Linked DNA regions of Caenorhabditis elegans. The protein of the gene in region 2 interacts with the protein of the main gene of each other region in a pairwise test. Each region holds a gene or a part of one and is shown on either strand. Other genes may lie near its edges. The genes, in order: F52H2.5 and nlp-27.

What was found.
Region 1: the proteins of nlp-27 (region 2) and F52H2.5 interact in a two-hybrid assay, tested with the Caenorhabditis elegans proteins (one large-scale study listed by BioGRID).

What each region holds. Positions count from the first base shown.
Region 1 is NC_003284.9:2,557,385-2,561,511, forward strand, and holds F52H2.5 (Peptidase_M10 domain-containing protein), read right to left. Parts: upstream 2,162-4,127; 5' UTR 2,125-2,161; intron 2,043-2,124; 5' UTR 2,022-2,042; coding exon 1,910-2,021; intron 1,860-1,909; coding exon 1,754-1,859; intron 1,704-1,753; coding exon 1,484-1,703; intron 1,426-1,483; coding exon 1,187-1,425; intron 837-1,186; coding exon 662-836; 3' UTR 592-661; downstream 1-591. Other genes in the region: aat-3 (Large neutral amino acids transporter small subunit 1), read left to right, coding at 30-91; Delta(24)-sterol reductase homolog dhcr-24, read right to left, coding at 2,735-2,888, 2,934-3,112, 3,156-3,531.
Region 2 is NC_003283.11:3,987,335-3,990,456, reverse strand, and holds nlp-27 (Neuropeptide-Like Protein), read right to left. Parts: upstream 1,080-3,122; 5' UTR 1,040-1,079; coding exon 955-1,039; intron 878-954; coding exon 744-877; 3' UTR 687-743; downstream 1-686. Other genes in the region: nlp-28 (QWGYGGY-amide), read right to left, coding at 2,244-2,350, 2,433-2,523.

The DNA.
Region 1 (4,127 bases), on a different chromosome or scaffold from region 2:
GGAGTCCATTGATCAATTGGAAATTTCAGATTCCGTCACGATCTTCACGCAAAAGTTGTTCATGGTTGTCGACGCCAACAAAGAGGAATAGTGTCATAAAAACTTGTAGCTCTCAGTTCTCGGCGCTCACAATCCCCAGTTACCACCAATTTAGTTTTCGTTGTTTTCTTTTATTTACTAAAGTTCGAGAAAAACTGATCTCAACTATATTATTTCCCCCCCCCCCCTCCCCCCAATTTTACAGTATTTTGCCGCCGATATAAAAGAATACAATGACAATTCGTACAAGTAGAAATGCGAAAAACCATAATTATTTTGGCATAATAAATATATTCTCACTTCAAACACTTCTACATATTCTGGCTAATAATCGGTTTTCCTGAAAGTTGTTGAATTGCAATTTACAAGGTTTTTACTTATTGTTAGATTTTTTTCCACGGAGTTACAGGTTTTCACAAACAGTAGAATATGTTTAGAACCTAATTTTTAGTTTAAAATCTAAGTTAGATTGTTCTGGAACGTTTTACTTGCTCCAGATGCGGGTGCTCAACGCCTCTTTTTTTCAGACCCCTGGTTAATTAGTTGGAAATTGTTAAAATGGTTTATGTGTCTAAAATTATGTTTTTACATGTGAAAAATAAATTAAAACGTAGTTTTTGGCTCAGCGGCGACGAATGCGGTCATAGTCACAATTGTTGTAAATGGACGATTTTTTGTAGAATAACGATGCTCCATAGACAAATTGAACAAGAAGCGAATCCCAATCCGAATCTTTTGGAACAATGCATTCAAAATTCATATCAACGGAATAGTAGAATCGATTTGTGTAGTAGGAGCTGAAATTTAAATTTATTGAAAATGAGCAAAAATATTTTGAAGGTGGAGTAGCGAAAATTGCCTTTAAAAATGCCTATAATGACCTAAATCTCATACTTAAAAATTCAAAAAAAGTGATAAATTTTATATGAGTTTTTGAAATTCGGAAAAAACTCCGTTTTCCACTTTTTTAAAGCCGTCGATTTGAAAAAAATACCGTTTTTATTATCTACTTACGTGTGTTTCAAAAATTATCAGGGAATCGAACATACGATAGTGCTCTAGTTTTTTCAAAAAGTGGCAAAAACTCAATAATTGCCACTTTTTGAAAAAATCCAATATTTTTCGAAAAGTTTCACTAAAAACTCACTTGTTCAGAAACATGACTGTGTGGAATCCTGCACTGCTTTCGAATTTCAGCGATCTGTCTTTCTCATCATACACAAATGTTGCAACTGGTGGATCTGGGAGCACTTGACCAATAAGGGTTTCAGAAACAATTCGAGCAGAGTGATCATCTAACAAAATGGCCAAGTCAATACGATTTTCTTCATTGAACAACTGGATGACTCCGGACATGATTCCAACATCAGAATGGAAAGCTCCAAACTGGGAAAGTTTTCATTTAAACCAAATGATCAGAATAGTAAGATTTGAAAAAACTCACCATATGCATCATCTCATGAAGAAAATGATTAAGAAGCATTTCAAACGCTGCTTTTTCGTTAGCTGGTAGCTTATCGATATTTGTCTCTTCGGAAAGTTCGTCAATTTTGCTCTTCGGAATGTGGATCTCAGCTCGATTACCATTGGCGAATGCAGTCAGTTTGGCGGGAACCTCGATGTCTTCCACGAAAATCACAATTTTCACACCATCTGGATTGCACCTGAAAAATGAATTCTTAACAGTTTCATCCAAATTCTAATAATAACGTACTCAACTTCTTTGTCAGCTACAACACGTTTGTATTCTAACTTTGAGTGCTCAGTCTGCCCATCGTTTTTTTCTAGGAAATGTTCGATTGCCTGGAGACCATACGTAACTGTAAAAATTAGTCTTAACAGAAAAAAATACATTTGTAAAATAACTCACTGATATTGTCAATTTTCGACATTGTTGTCTCATCAGCAGTTTCTCCAGAGGTACTTGTCACGAACATTCCTTGAACAAAAAGTTTTGGTTTGTCAATTAACCCGTCCGACATTTTTTCAACCCGTAGAAGTGTCTGAAATTTTCTGAATTGACAACTCTGCGAAAACAAAGTAGATATTAATTATTTAACTAAATTGAAATAAAAAGTAACTCACAAATGAGGTTGAAACGAAAAAACAGAGGTACTCGAACACTGTTCAACATTCAAAACAAGAAACGCGCCAAGAAAACTAAATGTGGGTCAGTAACACTTGCGCGTCGGCAGAGAGGGTGGAGGTCCCGATTGTGTGCAGACACGCAGTTATAAAACAAAATGGGGAAAAAAAGTGAAATAACAGTTCAAAAAAAAACTTTTAAAAAAATTTGTTTTTAAATTTATTCTGCATGGTAATGTATTTAGTTAAATTAATTGATTTGTAAACTTATGAAAATGAAGACCAACAAAAATTGTACGCCGTTTCTGAAAATTGAGCCTGTAAAATGATAAAATTTAAGCAGTACAATGAAGTAATTGAGATGAGAAAAACAATCGAGCAATGACTATCAATTCAAAAAAGTGAACTGCGAACAATGTAGAAGTGATTAAGCCTCATTGATATTGTGCAAAAATCACCAAATAGCAGAATAAAAGTTTTGGAAAATTTTTCATGTCTTATCAAAACGTGAAACCTTTTAAACTTTTTTAAAAATGATATTTGGTCATTTTAACATCATAGGATTAATTTTTAATCATTTCTCGCATAGTCCACCTTTAAATAAAAAATTTTAACGCCTTCCACTTCTGCAAATTTTATCGTAAATATCTGGGAACGCATCGATACATTTGCAAGATGCTCTTTTCCAATCATAGAGTGTTCTGTCAAACATTTCAGCGTACTCAGCTCGTGTCATGTAAATGTCGGCATATGTCATTTGGAATCTGAACGATAAATTATTAAAGTGATAATTTATAGGCAAATTTTACCCATTGACTGATCGAACAAACGATTCCAGTCGCCGTGTTGTTCTCTCGTGATGATAACCATCCTTGGATGTTACTCCATACGCTCCAACATCCACGTACATCTTGTGAGTAGCATTTCTCAATTTCATGAGACCTGGTTGGGATTTCAAGTAGAATGGGCACAACCACATTGGATAGATCTGGAAACAATGCTAGAAAATATGGAAAATCTGAAAAACGTACTTCGACTTCTTTGTGAAAAAGATCGATGCACTCTTCCAACTTATCCAGTGGTACAAGCATATCTTGCAAAACATGACTACGATCGTACAGCTTTCTTAAAACGTTTGGAGTTGTTGCCTTTAAAAATGCAATCTTTGGGGGGCACATCCAAGCCATCAAGTAACGAAACAGGACATTGTTTCCGAATGGGACGATGTCTCTGAGCTCCCAGAAAATGCTCTTTGAGTGACGATGGTAGTAGTCACGGAGTGGAATGTACTCAATGGATTCGTGCTTTTTATTGATCAAATCTTCAACGTGAGTGTAGAACCATTTTTTGTACCACCTTCCAATTGGGTTGACGACTTCATCGTGAGTGTCTGGGCCATCAGAAAATCTGAAATTTATTGTGAAAGTTTGAAAATATTTGGGGTGAGAATGCGTCTTATTGCATATAGATTTTTTTTTGAAATTGCGGAAATTTATGTCAATCACTATAATCTTTCATTTGACGATAGTTTCAAAAAGTTTCTCAAATTAACCTAGCCACTTTGAAAACATTCGTTTAAAAAACTAAACAACTTTTTTTGACGATAAACAAAAAACATTTTTTTAAATGAATACTTTTCAAACTTTTATTGTTTTTTGACAAAGTTGCGTTTGTGGTTTTTGCCTTAAATAATAGAATACAGTCCCAATATACCGAATTTTATCCATAAAAAAAACTGAATTATTTTTGAATTCCCGCGTGAATGGGTGACGTCATTTTAGACATTTATGCATTTTCCTGATGTTTTAATTTTTTCAGACATTTTTCCAAAAAGAAAACATGGTAATCCAAAAAGATCCTGCTGAAACTCTAAAATTGGCCTGAAAATCGATAATTTAACTTTTAAAAATATTTTTTTGTTTGGAAAAATATATGACAAACAGCGTTTAAAATTATGAAGCAAAAAAAAATATGAAAAAAAGAAGCTAAAACCTATTACTTAT
Region 2 (3,122 bases):
TTCATTTGGAGAACTTATAATCATTTGAATATCCGTGGCGGTCCTATGCGGATCTTCTCTTGCTGATCGGAGGATGTTGCGATCCATCCTATGGGTTGTCACTCGAGGCCTGCCGGGCGAGATTCTCAAAGCGACGGATTTCTAAACATTTATTATTAAAAAATAATATTTTTCGAACTCACCTCAGTTTGGTACTTCTTGATTACTTTCCAAATAGTCGACGGAGAACGTTGAATTTGCAGCGCGAGCATTTTCGTGGGTATTCCTTGTTCGAAGCCAGCTACAATGGCTTTCTTGACGTCCAAGGAAAGATTTTTACACCCAACAGATTTTACCATACCTTAAAAATAATTTATCAACCAAACAAATCCAGTGCAACAAACAGAGTGCGTTTTATTGATAATTCAAAAAAAATAATGAAAATTGGAAAAACGAAAAAATCAAAAAATTGAAATAAAATTCAGAAAAAATCGATAATCATGTAATGTTTGGTCCGCAAATTTGCGTAACATTTCGCTTTATGCACACGGAAAAATTCAAGTCAAATGGATGCTTGAGAAAAAAGTTACACACAAAAAACCAAAAGTGGATATCTTTTTGGCCAGCACTGTACTTTGACCTGAAATTCTCTGTCTTCTTCGTTTCTTTAGATACATGTTTCAAAGTTTGCGAGTAAGATAACAAATAAAGATCGAAAATTCATTATTATTTACAAAGTCAGAAGATTATTTAAAATATCGAATTTACTTTCCCCATCCACCGTATCCACCGTATCCTCCATATCCACCGTATGGGCTTCCCCACATGCGCCGTCTGTATCCCATTCCGTATCCTCCCATTCCGTAGCCTCCCATTCCACCGTATCCACCATATGGCACTGAAAAGTTACAATATATTGATATGTTAAACAGAAATGATCGAAAATTTAGGATTTAAACTTTTAAAGTAACTCACTTCCACCGTATCCCCACTGGGCGCTGGCAGCCATGAAGCAGGCGAGAAGGACGACAAGGATAAGAAGTGAAGAAGTGGAAATCATAATGATATTTCTTTGAAAAACTTGTAAATAAGTTTTCTGTATTCTACCTGGTTACCTGGCATCTTTTATACTGTTCATTTTGGGTTCCTTTTTCGTCAAACAACTAACTGATAAGATCATCTTTTTTTTTTCTACCACATCTCCACCTCCTGCACGCGGCGAACTGACTTGGTGAATCACTTTGAATTGGTCACTTGGTCAAATTGGTAATGGCCTATCGGGCAAAATACGCAATTTTTCTCAAGTGTTTTGATGTTTGTCAAGATGATCCATGGAAAATGACAAATCAGAAATGTTTTTTTGTTGCCAAATACATTTGTATAAAAAGTTACTGTGAAAAAGTAGCGTCGTAGTTTTTTTTGAGGAAAGTTCTATGAAAATATAGAGAAACAATTATAAATTTTGATAATAAATTTACTTTACATTAAGAGTTTCGAGAAGTTTTTCAAAAACGGTCTCAAAGTCAGTCAAAATGGGAGCAATGAAGCTAGAGTAAATTTTTGAGCAACTCCTCAAATTATTAAATAGAAAATAAATTTATTTGCAGAAAATTTGATTATTTCTCTTTAATTTTAACTATAAGAAAAACCAGGTTTTTGAGAATTTATATAGAAATACAGAAAAAATATCTGATCTTCTGAAATAATTTTTTTTCATTATAAATCAACTTTTAATTTTAGCACAACATCCAACTTTAACTCAACTTTTTGAGAAATTGCCTGTTAGAAGTTACAAAATTTTCTCAATTCTTTCATATAAGTTTTCAAAATATACTTTGCAAACCATGTCAATAATGTTGTAAAACACCACTTTGCAAAAATGTTGAGTTGATAAGATTTTGTTTCGAAGTTACAGAAATCACAAATCGTCCACTTGCTGTTTTTAAGAAGTATATCCAAAATACCAAATATAATTGTTTAAACGGATTACAAGGTATTGGTAGTAACTCAAACAATACGATCATGCACTGGTCAAGTACTGAAACTTAAAAAAAAATTTCCGTGCACACTGAAGTTCTAGTCTTGCAGGCTTTACATTCTACTAATTTTGAACGAGTTGTTTGAGTTTCACTCACTCAATAGTTACAATGTGGATAATACTTTTTGAATTTCAAAAATTTTATATGGGAATAAGTATACAAACCATCAGAATACTGCTGGAATCGACGAGATTTAGAATGAATATAGTTAGTAGGCTAATTTGTCTACTTTCCCCATCCTCCGTACATTCCACGGCCATATCCACCATACATTCCGCGTCCATAGCCTCCATACATTCCACGTCCGTATCCACCATATCCACCATAACCTCCTGAAAATGAAAAATATGTGTGAATGATTTAATTTTATATTGAGGTAAGTTTTTTTTTAATCAAAAAAGCACAAAAACTTACTTCCATATCCTCCATATCCCCACTGAGCACTGGTAGCCATGAAGCAAGCGAGAAGGAAGACGAGAATCAGAATTGAAGAAGTTGAAATCATTTTTGTATTTTAAAAGTCACGAAAATGATTTTCTGATGTTTACCACGTTTTTCGCCTCTTTTATAGGTGCCGTCGTCTATCTTCAATTAGTTTTTTTCGTTGATCAAGATCACAAGACTCGGTATTTTTACTTGAACATCACTGTTATACGTCAAATAAAGTTTGATTCTAGATCAGTTATAGATCAGTTCAAATTGGACAGTGGTAACGTTAGCCGTTATAAAATATTGGAACGTGGTATTTGTGTTTGATACGAAATATGATTTTTGTTACATAATATGAAAGATTTTAAGCATTTTGTACTTTTATAATAGTGGATTTTAACTTTTTAGGCAGCTTCAAAATTAAACCAACATCTCAGTCAATTTTCAAACATATTTGAGAGTGGAGTAGCGTTTGTGGGGTTTTTGCCCAAAATGACTCAATATACCGAACAGGGGTGAGCGGCAAATTTCAAAGTTTACCGTGTTGTGCCAACTCAAGAAAATCTCTTTTTCCAATATTTTCAAAACACGGCAAATTCGGCAAATTTGCCGTGTTGCTCGGACTCGGAAAATGTGATAGCTTTTGGTATTTTTTGGAGCACCAAAATTACTGAA